4 linked regions of the Saccharomyces cerevisiae S288C genome follow. The main gene of each other region encodes a partner of the protein of the gene in region 2 in a complex. Each region holds a gene or a part of one and is shown on either strand. Other genes may lie near its edges.

Region 1 (3,292 bases), on a different chromosome or scaffold from region 2:
CAGACATATGATGTTCTTTTCTACATTATGGAAAATCTCATCCGTATTCTGAATTTCTTGGCTATTATCGTCGGCAAAATCTATTATAGCAGTCAACTGTGCCATATTCTCGATAATGGTTTCCCTCCAGTTCTCAAATAGGATTTTGTTATCCCCATTGAAACTTGACAAGGCAGATCTCCTTTGAGATTCTGTTTCCGAATCAATAAGATCTTTGATACCTTCAAGTTGGGTAAGGTCAAACTTTCCATTTTGAAACGCCCTCCTGGAGAAGTCGCCAGGCAAGGCAAATCTTATATCTTTACCACTGCTTCTATCGTGTAACGAGCCGATAGCTTTCAGTATACTATTAACTACGGCTTTCCCGCCGTGAACGTGCAGCTCTAACACATCCTCACCAGTAAATGAATAAGGAGCTTGGAAATATAGCAACAACGATGTGTCTAATAATATTTTACTTTCCTTTTGATCATGAGGTTTCACACTACAAGAGGACGGCGAATAAATGTTCCTCAAAATAGCCTTCCTGATCGGCGGAACTGTACTTGAATCAACTAGTCGATTGTAAATGTACTTAGCATGGGTACCAGATATTCTTATGATTGCTATCGCAGAGGTTTGATTTGCTGGTGTAGATAATGCATATATGGTTGGTTGCTGGAAGGTATAAGGCTTTGCAAGTCCGGAGTACCTCTTTAACGACCTTCTTACGAGAAAGGATCTCGAAATAAGCCGTGATTGTAAGAAAGATGCACTATTCATAAATAGAATACTTATTAACCATATATAACATTCTCTAAGTAGATAGCAGTCGTATGGAATATTGCTGTATCTTCATGTAACCTCGTAAAAGACGTTATATATGGGTTAGTTAGCCAAAAAAATAAAAAATGGACGAGTCCGGAATCGAACCGGAGACCTCTCCCATGCTAAGGGAGCGCGCTACCGACTACGCCACACGCCCGATTTGTATTGAAGACTTTGAAGAAGTATAGAAAACATAAATGTAGGATACATTTTTAAACTTTTATTAATGAAACCAATTTGAAGACATGTGGCAACCCGTGTTACTCATATATATATATATATATATATACAACTATCAGAAGATTATCAATCTAATAGATCTTTAACGCCGCCTCAGTACTTTCTGAACTGCAAGTAGAATATTTTTTTCTGGAATCGGCACATTCACATTCAGACGTATACGATGTCAGCACTTAGATTGCTACTATAGCAACTCATTTATTATTAATCCCCATTCGTTCCGATATGGATGGCATATTATTACCTTTAAGAAAGGTGGAGTTCCAAAGATTCATCAATTTTACTGTTTATAGAAAACGTTACGGAAAGATGAAAAGTAAACACCAAGGTCTCTTATGCCTTGACATAAAGAATACGGAATAGAATGATTGTAGACGCAACAAGATGAATAATTAATGGCAAATTATTATCCTATTAGATATAAATTACAGTCGCTTTAATGCGTGATTATAGAAAAGGTCCTTACAATATGCAGCCGGGTAAAGAGTGAAGTTTCCCGCCTCTGAAAAAGAGCAATACTAAAATAATCTGAAAAGAATTGGTGAAAAGAAAGCTGTAGTTATATATACAGAATGGGCATAGTTTTGAAAAGAGCAATAGCAGCAGGTATGAAACCTTTTCCAAACAGTACGTGGCATTGGAGCCGAACCATAAGACCTTTCTCACAGCATTTGTCTAGCACATGCTTTCTGCAGCAATCCTCGAGATTTACTTCAAAACGATACCTACACCTTTCAACATTAACACAACAAGAAAAGCGCTTCCTACCCGAATCTGAACTTGCTAAATATAAGGAATACTACCAGGGTTTGAAGAGCACTGTAAATGAAATACCTGAATCAGTGGCCTCTAAGTCACCTTCGTTAAGAACGCTTCATAAGAGATTACAATTACCTAATGAGTTGACCTATTCAACACTTTCCAGATGCTTAACGTGTCCCTCTGCAAAACTACCCGACAAGATAAATAATCCTACAAAAGGTGCAGCTTTCGTTAATACTGTACCTACTAATAAATACTTGGACAACCACGGTTTAAACATCATGGGAAAGAACTTGCTCTCTTACCACGTTACAAAATCCATTATACAGAAATATCCGAGACTACCCACTGTGGTTTTGAATGCTGCGGTTAACGCATATATATCAGAGGCGGTACTGGCGCACATTGCTAAATACTGGGGTATTGAAGTAGAAACTACGTCTGTTTTATCACGCTATTTGAAAATGGAACCATTCGAATTCACTTTGGGAAGACTCAAATTCTTTAATAATTCATTGAACTCTAAGGACGGTATTGAGCTAATCACCGGAAAGAACTTTTCAGAAACAAGCGCTCTTGCAATGAGCGTGAGGAGTATAATAGCTGCCATCTGGGCAGTAACGGAGCAAAAAGATTCTCAAGCTGTTTACAGATTTATTGATGATCATATAATGAGCAGGAAATTGGATATCACGAAAATGTTCCAGTTTGAACAACCTACAAGAGAATTGGCTATGCTATGTCGTAGAGAGGGGCTGGAGAAACCTGTATCGAAACTGGTCGCTGAGTCTGGTAGACTATCGAAATCACCTGTCTTTATTGTGCATGTATTTTCAGGCGAAGAGACATTAGGTGAAGGTTATGGTTCCTCATTAAAGGAGGCAAAAGCAAGAGCCGCTACTGATGCTTTGATGAAATGGTATTGCTACGAGCCTCTTGCTCAACAGGAACCAGTTATTGATCCTGGCACTGTTGTTGTTTAGTTCTGTGTTTGCCATTTTGTAGATAGAGAACTCCTTAACCAGAATACATTCTTGTACATATATATATACACGTTGGTACGATATGCGTTTACTTTATGTGTACTAAAATATATAAAAGTGAACAGAAGCATGTTCCTTGTTTACTACTATATCTTACCAGGAAACAGACAAAAAAAAAAAAGACTTGCTATATTTAAAGAGAACGCACATTTGTGAGGGGATAATAACACAAAGCAAAGTAATATAGGGTAAATGGACCTCCTAAAATTCAGTTCTCTAGCTATATCAGAAATTAACTTCCTGCACGAGTCATCGTTTGACTCGATAGACCACTCTTGGTTTTTATTGATAGGTTGCAAATTGGATCAAGATGATGAAATTTACATCCCAATAAATGGTAATGAAGCAGAGTCTCAATGGTATATTGAAAAAGTTATACGAATCCCGATGCAGGAAAATGATAAAATAAATCAAGAACGCCTAGAAAGGAGAATTAACCT
Region 2 (3,347 bases):
AGTGGATACTCCATCGCCATCCAATTCCACATCAGCGTGTGCGACATTCCCACATTCCTTGAATATGTCTTTCAAAGCCTGCCAATTAACGGAAGCAGGTAAATTTTTTACAATAACTTCATGTGTTTTTCGGTTATGTCTAAGCTCTCCTCTATCGAGTGCTTTCCTTTCCTTGATATTGTTTGACGGTGGTGGATTATCTTGCCTGACGAAGATTTTACGATCCATGAAGAAGGCCCCATCGTACTGGCGGATGGCCCTGTCAACATCATCCGAATTAGTGAACTCTACTGTACCCATACCTCTGTGGTGCCCTCTTGATGTAATTATATCCGCGCGGACTACTTTTCCTATCTGTGAAAAAAACTCAGTGAGATCTTCGGGGGTGCTGTCATATGTTAAATTACCCACGAATATACTATTGGAATAGTTTCTATTGACCTTTTCTTCGTATGTACTATCCAATTCACGTGCCAACAAAGGACCGTAATCACCTCTTGCTCCACTACTACCAAAACCGCCTCTCCTACTGTCATCACGTGTATTGTGTCTACTCCTAAAGCTTCTAGGATAGTCATCACGTCTGTTCCCATAACGACCAGTCACATCTCTTCCTCTGCGCCTATCATCGTAACGGTCTCTAGATCTAGGATTATCTCTGTTATTGAACCTTTCTCTTTCTCTGTAATCAGACCTTTCTCTACCTCCTCTATATTCTCCTCTATCTCTGCTTCCTCTGTACGTATCTGCGAACTTACGCCTACCGTTATAATTACCTGACCTCCGGGACAAATGGTTGTCTCTTTCATAACCATGATCATCACTCATCCGACGACGAACAGGTGATCTCGACCTCGATCTACTTCGATTATTCTACAACAATGAATAACATTAGTAAAAGTAACTAAATTTCATAATGAGAGAGACCAATAAGTCATTGCGTTTCAAAGTTGGAATAAACTGTACATTATAGCATGGCAGGTAGAAAATCAGGGTTTTATTTATAATTGATATTCTCACTTTCATAGCCAGTAGATAAACATTAGCAATGCATTCAAAAAACCCCCTTTAACCAGTGGAATCACATTGAAGCAAGCGTTTTGAAGGCAGCATTAAATGGTGACTCACCATTCGTTGATGTCTATTTAATTCCAATGACCTCATAAAGTCTCATTTTACAAACTTTTCTTCACCTCCCTTATCAATGAAACATACGTTTTCTGAACCTCGTTCTTGATCAGACATATCCTGTTAACTTAATATTTGGCGTTCTATCTGCTCATTCAAACTGTTTTCGAACTCATGAGCAAACATAATTATGAAATTTTTCAGCCAGTACTCTACTTTTTCATTTCCCTCGCTAAACAAAGAGAGTCATTTGAAACGACCCAAGGAAAGACGTAAATTGAGGTATATGTAGTGACCAGAAGAGGATAAGGATGGCTAGAGTTTGGTGTTCAAGTTCAATTGTTTGGTTGAATAGGTACTAAAAAGATTTTCACACAACGGCTTCTCTGTAATGTTATACACACTGTTTTTATACCAATTATGCAAATTTGGCTGTTATGACTGGGTGTTTCGATATCTGACGTTCCGCTATTGAATTTTAAAGCTCTTTCTTTGGAGACTCATTCAAGATAGTTCACTGAAGAATGAAGTTGGCTCATTGTAAAAATAAAACTCGCCAGTTTGGGTGGTCATAATATTTCAAGCTTAACCTAAGGTGAGAATATGTGGAATCCTATTTTACTAGATACTTCTAGTTTTTCATTCCAAAAACATGTGTCTGGTGTGTTCCTTCAAGTGCGTAATGCCACCAAAAGGGCTGCGGGCTCGAGAACAAGTATGAAGGATTCTGCAGGAAGAAGGTTAGGACCAAAAAAATATGAAGGCCAGGATGTTTCCACAGGTGAAATTATTATGAGGCAAAGAGGAACAAAGTTTTATCCTGGAGAAAACGTTGGTATAGGGAAAGATCATTCCATATTCGCCTTAGAACCTGGTGTTGTTCGTTACTATCTTGATCCTTTTCATCCTAAAAGAAAATTCATTGGTGTTGCCTTGAGGCGTGATTTGAAACTGCCATCTCCTCATTTTGAGCCTACCGTAAGGAGGTTTGGCCGTTTTGAGTTAACAAATAAAAGGGCAGCATATAAGGAAGAAAATTCTATTTCTAGAAAAGACTATCTCGCAAAACCTAATATTTTGAAGCAGTTAGAGGTCAGGGAATCTAAAAGAAAGGAGTTACAAGACAAGTTGAGTAAGGTTCTTCGGGATGAACTTAAGTTAGATATAAAAGACATCGAATTGGCAACGTCATACTTAATTCGTGTAAGGGCTTCCCTGAAGAATGGATACCCCATAGAAGATGCAAGGTTCAATAGTAGATATTATTTAAAAGAAGAAGAGCGTTTGAAGGCAAGGAGAGAAAGCTGGACGAATGAGAAATTGTCGGAGAGTCTATCCAAGATTGATGAGTGTAGTGATCTTTTGAACTCATCTACATCTTTCAATAACAAGCTAGAGCTACACCAGTATATTTCGGAACAAGAAAAACAAGCTTTGAAGGCAAAACTATTAGAGGACCTAGAAAAATCCCAACACTTAGAAACCAAAAAAGACAAGAATTATATTAAGGCGCTTTTCAAGGACGCTTGTAATTTTTTGACTTTATCTGAAGAAGTACATTTGCGTAGGAAATACTTAAAGTCGGTCTTCCCCGAAACAGATAGTACGGTTGAAACCAAAAGCGGGAAGAAGTCAATTGTGTCTAGACGTTTTGATTACACCAAAAATAAAGTTGAAGTCATTGCTAGAAGTAGGCGGGCTTTTTTGAGCAAGCTTTGATTTTCTTTCCTTACGCACAGTATGTACACATATAAAATGTTTAAGAATGCCTGTAAATATTACTATTTTGTCGCGCAAGTAGCTAAACCTTTCGTCTACACGAAACTTAAAATTTAGTGCTACATGCAAGGGAATATGTTTATACTGTACATTCTCGTCTTCCTTTCATTGATGATATGCATCGCGATTGCTTTCATTTTGTGAACAATCAATTAACTAAAATGCACAGGATAGTAAAATCTATATTTACAAAAAGGCGGATAAGCAAACACTGAAAATCATAATGTTTTTTGTCACTTCGGTCCTTCAAGCTTGGTAGTTGATAAATTGTAAACTATACATCGTTTAATGCGACACATACAGCTCCCTTGTGGTGTCCACCGTACTGTCTGACAATTTCTCTAGTTGATAAATCCCATAATCTCACGTAATGATCGGACGATGCCGTTACTAGATACGCACTGTCAGCACTAAATGCGCAATCCCAAACCCACCTTTGG
Region 3 (2,632 bases), on a different chromosome or scaffold from region 2:
AAGAAATCGTCAACCGGTTGAGTACGACCACCCAGGATATCAATGAAACAATCGAAGGCGTTAAAAATACGGTTAAATTGAAAAAATCGTCCGCTAGAAGGAAATTGGAAGAACTAAATAGAGTTCTGAAAAACAATCCATATTTCAATTCAAATGTGAACGTACAGAATTCGAGACTCAAAGATGCTGTACCGTTCACGCCGTTTAACGGTGATAGAGAAGCACACCCAAGGTTTACGTTGAAAGGTTCAGTATACAATGACCCATTCATCAAAGATCTTGAGCACAGGAAAGAATTTATTGCGTCTGGGTTCAACACTAATTATGCGTACGAAAGGGTGTTGACAGAGGCATTTATGGGCTTAGGATGTGTTATATCCGAGGAGCTTTAAAACATCAGGATAGTGTGCAACGTGGCATAAGCTATGTAATCAACTACTTTTTATTTTCTATGTACGCATATACATGCATTCACGATCTGTTTCAGTGTTCAGAAAAAAGGCACCTACTGCTACGGTTGGCCCATACCTTTATTCTTTGTTCTTGTTACAAACGAGTGTGTAATTACCCAAAAAGGAAATTTACATGTTAAATGAAACCCAGTAATCAGAAAAAACAGTTAAGAAACCTAAAATGGTAGAGATAAAGATACAGATTCAGTGGTTGCTGAAAATCAAGTAAAAAAATGAAATAGAGTCTTCATATATAAACCGCCAGAAATGAATTAATGAGAGGGATCTGTAACTGTTTCTCGGATAAAACCAAAATAAGTACAAAGCCATCGAATAGAAATGCAACCATCTACCGCTACCGCCGCTCCAAAAGAAAAGACCAGCAGTGAAAAGAAGGACAACTATATTATCAAAGGTGTCTTCTGGGACCCAGCATGTGTTATTGCTTAGTTTCTGCGTACAAAAACGTTGTTCTCCCTCCTTTATCTTCCTTTTCCGCTACACCAATATATCATGTTTGTTCGTAATATTTCTTTTTAGACCTAATAATAAATATCCTAAGTAACTATATTATATAAAATATTTTGATACCCTGTACCTGCTTTTGTTATCGTTGTACATCCATGCACACGCTCATATATATATATATATATATATATATGTATATGTACATATACCGCTTACCACCTACCGTGAAGTATATGTAAGGGTCTTCGCACCCGGATATCCCTTGTGGGATCTTGGATGCGGATGGTGAGTGTAAACAGGCCTCATAAAGCTGTCTCTGTGTGCGGAAGATGTCGTTTCATCGGCTTCGACCTCCTCCTTATCTTGCTTCATTGTTTCTTCGTAAGAGGGCGGATCTACGGGCAGCGGGGTCGCTGTCTCCTTGTATGCATGCTTATTTATATCACTCTTTCCGCTATCCATCATAATCTGTTTTTGTTTATGTGCTTTGAATACTCAACACATAAAATAATATCCAGTTAATTGTCGTCTGTCCATTGACGCTTTGCCTTTGTCCCTTTAGACTGTCTTTATTGTGAAATATGCACGGCTGAGAATTACGTATACAGTGACTATCGTATGGGGCGACAAAAGTTCCCAGCGAGAAACAAGATGAAGCAGACTGGGGCCTGCCTGTATGGAGGGAAGCATAAGTTAATATACCTCCAGATATTTGCAGATTAGGATACTGAACTGACGAAGACCTACGCTACACAACGAAGATAACACATGCTGGCACAAACATTCAAAAAACCACACAGAGCCGTTCTAGAACAGGTATCTGGGACCACGGTCTTCATCAGAAATAAGAGAACAAAGAGCAAGAGCTCACTGTCACCTTTGGCACAAAGGGTCGTCACGCAGTTGAGTGTGATGTCTGCAAGCAGAAAGCAGCCCAAGTTGCTGAAGCTGGCGCGTGAAGACCTGATTAAACATCAGACCATTGAGAAGTGTTGGTCAATTTATCAGCAGCAACAACGGGAGCGCAGAAATTTACAGTTGGAATTACAATATAAGAGCATTGAGAGATCTATGAACCTTCTACAAGAACTCAGCCCTCGTCTGTTTGAGGCTGCCAATGCTTCCGAGAAGGGCAAGCGATTCCCGATGGAAATGAAGGTGCCCACTGACTTCCCCCCAAATACGTTATGGCATTATAACTTCCGAAAATGATAGCGTGAGCGAACGCTTGACTGTCTCCTGCTGTAAATAACTGATGATCAATAGAATGCCACGTATATATGGACTTATATAATTATATGTACATAGACATATAAAGGGCATGTGGTAATTATGACATGAACTGTATCACTATTGACGTTTTTTTTACTGCTTTTTCCCATCCCTGCAAGCGAAAAAAAAAGCAAGCTGACTCTTGTATAAACTGCAAGGACTCATTGATTAAAAGTAGATTTACATTACAGACTAAAGGAAAAGGCAAACTATACCGGCTATACCACATTCGTTCAAAAATGCCCTCTACCACGCTACTGTTTCCGCAGAAACATATTAGGGCCATTCCAGGCAAGATATACGCGTTCTTCAGAGAGCTCGTCAGCGGAGTTATTATATCCAAGCCAGATCTAAGTCATCATTATTCTTGTGAAAATGCGACAAAGGAGGAAGGCAAAGATGCAGCAGATGAAGAAAAGACTACCACAAGTTTGTTTCCC
Region 4 (2,890 bases), on a different chromosome or scaffold from region 2:
TATATATGTACATATACATATATAGATTTATATGACGTTTCCGACGCATACTGGTGAACCACTTTCTTTTTAGTGAATAGCCTCATTATGCAGTTTCCGGTATTTTTTTTCCGTTGCTTCAGCTACGGGATTTCTTCGATGCCATTGAAAAATAAAGTTGTGTTCAATGAGAATATGGAAAGAAAAGACACTTTTTACCAGCTGATCTTAAAAGTTTTGTCTGCTTTATTACTTCTATCGGTAAGAAACTCGAGTGGACATACGAGACACTTTGTGCAGTCGTCGGAGAAAATTTATAGGCGATCACTCTTTAAGCAATAAGAAAGTTTCACGTATATTATTGAATAATACATTAATCATATTGTATATCGGTGGTTGTACAAGGAAAGAGCGAGCCTGCACAAAATGTATGTTGATCCGATGAACAACAATGAAATCAGGAAATTAAGCATTACTGCCAAGACAGAAACAACTCCAGATAACGTTGGACAAGACATTCCTGTAAACGCACATTCGGTGCATGAGGAATGTTCTTCCAACACACCCGTGGAGATAAATGGAAGAAACAGCGGAAAGTTGAAAGAAGAAGCGTCTGCAGGTATTTGTTTGGTTAAAAAACCAATGCTACAATATAGAGATACCTCAGGAAAGTATTCCCTAAGTGACTTTCAGATTTTAAGAACTTTGGGAACTGGCTCATTTGGGAGAGTTCACCTAATTCGTTCCAATCACAATGGGAGGTTTTACGCTTTGAAGACATTGAAAAAGCACACTATAGTGAAGCTGAAGCAGGTTGAACACACCAATGACGAACGCCGAATGCTTTCAATTGTTTCACATCCATTCATCATTCGAATGTGGGGAACGTTCCAAGATTCTCAGCAAGTTTTCATGGTAATGGACTACATTGAAGGTGGTGAATTATTTTCTTTACTACGTAAATCTCAAAGATTTCCCAACCCAGTAGCCAAATTTTATGCCGCAGAGGTATGCTTAGCGTTGGAATATTTGCACAGTAAGGATATAATATATAGAGACTTGAAACCAGAAAATATCCTTCTAGATAAAAACGGCCATATCAAGATAACCGACTTTGGCTTCGCAAAATACGTTCCCGATGTCACATACACATTATGTGGCACACCAGATTACATAGCGCCGGAAGTGGTCAGTACAAAACCGTATAATAAATCAGTGGATTGGTGGAGTTTTGGTGTGCTAATCTATGAAATGCTTGCCGGATACACTCCATTTTACAATTCGAACACCATGAAAACTTACGAAAATATACTGAACGCCGAATTGAAGTTCCCACCATTTTTCCATCCAGACGCGCAGGACTTATTGAAGAAGCTAATTACCAGAGACTTAAGTGAAAGGTTGGGTAACTTACAAAATGGAAGTGAAGATGTCAAGAACCATCCGTGGTTTAACGAAGTGATATGGGAGAAATTGTTAGCAAGATACATAGAAACGCCGTACGAACCACCAATCCAACAGGGCCAAGGTGACACTTCTCAATTTGACAGATACCCTGAAGAGGAATTCAACTATGGAATTCAAGGGGAGGATCCATATATGGATTTAATGAAAGAATTTTAAGGAGGTTCAGTGGGATAATTGTAATTGAAAAAAAAAAAAAATCAATAAAAGTAAAAACAAGAACAAGAAAAAGCACAAACAAACCTGGTTATAGATTCTTGGTGAGTCTAACAGGGCCATGATAAAAAAGTGACACATGCATATATGTACATGTATATATCTACGTACGTCTATTCAATAGAGGTGTATACAGATAAATAAAGGAGCATTCATATACGCCATATTGTGACTACATTTGCGTCCTCAGAAGACTGGGACGTTCAAAGTGATCTAGGACTTTTCACCCAGGGAAAACAGGATATCTGTAAGAATCGGCCATAAAACTCATTAATAGAAGAACAGTATAACATAAGTGAGCCTGCTACAATAAGAAGATGTCTAAGGTTGCACAACAGTTAAAATTTTTGAATAAAATTAGCGCCACTACCAGACTACCGCAGATTCTAGTCGATCCTAAAAAATACTCAGGTCTTAGATTGACTTTTCAAACGAAAAACCACAATGGACATATGGGTGCCAGAGTTTTTTGGCATAACTACCTACCCACTTTGCAGTTCTATAATCCAAGAATGAAGTTTGACGTGATAAGGATAAAGAACGAAGACAAGCAAAAAAGCGTTCCATGCAAACTGGAGATTTTATCTCATGAAGGCTCCGTTGTAGAGACTATTGATATGCGTAATAAAATGCATGAAGATATAATGAAAGACTTACTTGACAAAATAGAGCACGTTCCTCTTCCTGAAAATGAGATCATAAGAGTTGGACCGCAAGAAAGTATTATATAAGCTTTCTCTCGATAAGTTTGTTCATGTATATATCAAAAAACATTGCCCTTCATGGAAATATGTAAATTCAAAACTCACTTATGGGGCATATAAGTATATAATTTAGAGTACAATAAGTAGGATTGTGCTGAATATTGTCAGCCCTTGGGTCCCTTTTTTTGCCCTCCGCGTATTTCTTGTGGAAAATAAGGAAATTTCATTTTCACTTCAACTAGCTAGTTTAATTGCATGATGGACTCAAAAACATTGACAGCATCAATGGTAATGCAGGAGGAGAAGAAGCGGCAACAACCTGTGACAAGAAGAGTAAGGTCATTTTCTGAGTCCTTTAAAAACCTTTTCAGGCCGCCTCGTTCAAGAGATTCAAGTCCTATTAATGTCACCCGAATTCCTTATCGATCGTCTTCTACCTCACCCAAGAGAAGCTCTGAGCCACCAAGACGATCAACCGTATCCGCACAAATTTTAGATCCAAAAAATTCTCCAATACGCCAGCGTAG

What was found.
Region 1: MRP7 (region 2) and MRPL3 share a complex: the UniProt entries of both Saccharomyces cerevisiae proteins name them as parts of the mitochondrial large ribosomal subunit.
Region 3: MRP7 (region 2) and MRPL28 share a complex: the UniProt entries of both Saccharomyces cerevisiae proteins name them as parts of the mitochondrial large ribosomal subunit.
Region 4: MRP7 (region 2) and MRP49 share a complex: the UniProt entries of both Saccharomyces cerevisiae proteins name them as parts of the mitochondrial large ribosomal subunit.

What each region holds. Positions count from the first base shown.
Region 1 is NC_001145.3:320,256-323,547, forward strand, and holds MRPL3 (mitochondrial 54S ribosomal protein mL44 MRPL3), read left to right. Parts: upstream 1-1,619; coding exon 1,620-2,792; downstream 2,793-3,292. Other genes in the region: MSS1 (Mss1p), read right to left, coding at 1-762; CSI1 (Csi1p), read left to right, coding at 3,045-3,292. UniProt on the Saccharomyces cerevisiae protein: Component of the mitochondrial ribosome (mitoribosome), a dedicated translation machinery responsible for the synthesis of mitochondrial genome-encoded proteins, including at least some of the essential transmembrane subunits of the mitochondrial respiratory chain.
Region 2 is NC_001146.8:620,813-624,159, reverse strand, and holds MRP7 (mitochondrial 54S ribosomal protein bL27m MRP7), read left to right. Parts: upstream 1-1,731; coding exon 1,732-2,847; downstream 2,848-3,347. Other genes in the region: HRB1 (mRNA-binding protein), read right to left, coding at 1-873, 1,216-1,245; TOR complex subunit LST8, read right to left, coding at 3,182-3,347. UniProt on the Saccharomyces cerevisiae protein: Component of the mitochondrial ribosome (mitoribosome), a dedicated translation machinery responsible for the synthesis of mitochondrial genome-encoded proteins, including at least some of the essential transmembrane subunits of the mitochondrial respiratory chain.
Region 3 is NC_001136.10:1,384,385-1,387,016, forward strand, and holds MRPL28 (mitochondrial 54S ribosomal protein mL40 MRPL28), read left to right. Parts: upstream 1-1,688; coding exon 1,689-2,132; downstream 2,133-2,632. Other genes in the region: TFIIH/NER complex subunit TFB3, read left to right, coding at 1-392; MFA1 (mating pheromone a), read left to right, coding at 792-902; CMI8 (Cmi8p), read right to left, coding at 1,140-1,382; STP1 (Stp1p), read left to right, coding at 2,432-2,632. UniProt on the Saccharomyces cerevisiae protein: Component of the mitochondrial ribosome (mitoribosome), a dedicated translation machinery responsible for the synthesis of mitochondrial genome-encoded proteins, including at least some of the essential transmembrane subunits of the mitochondrial respiratory chain.
Region 4 is NC_001143.9:133,221-136,110, reverse strand, and holds MRP49 (mitochondrial 54S ribosomal protein mL61 MRP49), read left to right. Parts: upstream 1-1,976; coding exon 1,977-2,390; downstream 2,391-2,890. Other genes in the region: cAMP-dependent protein kinase catalytic subunit TPK3, read left to right, coding at 406-1,602; putative serine/threonine protein kinase KKQ8, read left to right, coding at 2,649-2,890. UniProt on the Saccharomyces cerevisiae protein: Component of the mitochondrial ribosome (mitoribosome), a dedicated translation machinery responsible for the synthesis of mitochondrial genome-encoded proteins, including at least some of the essential transmembrane subunits of the mitochondrial respiratory chain.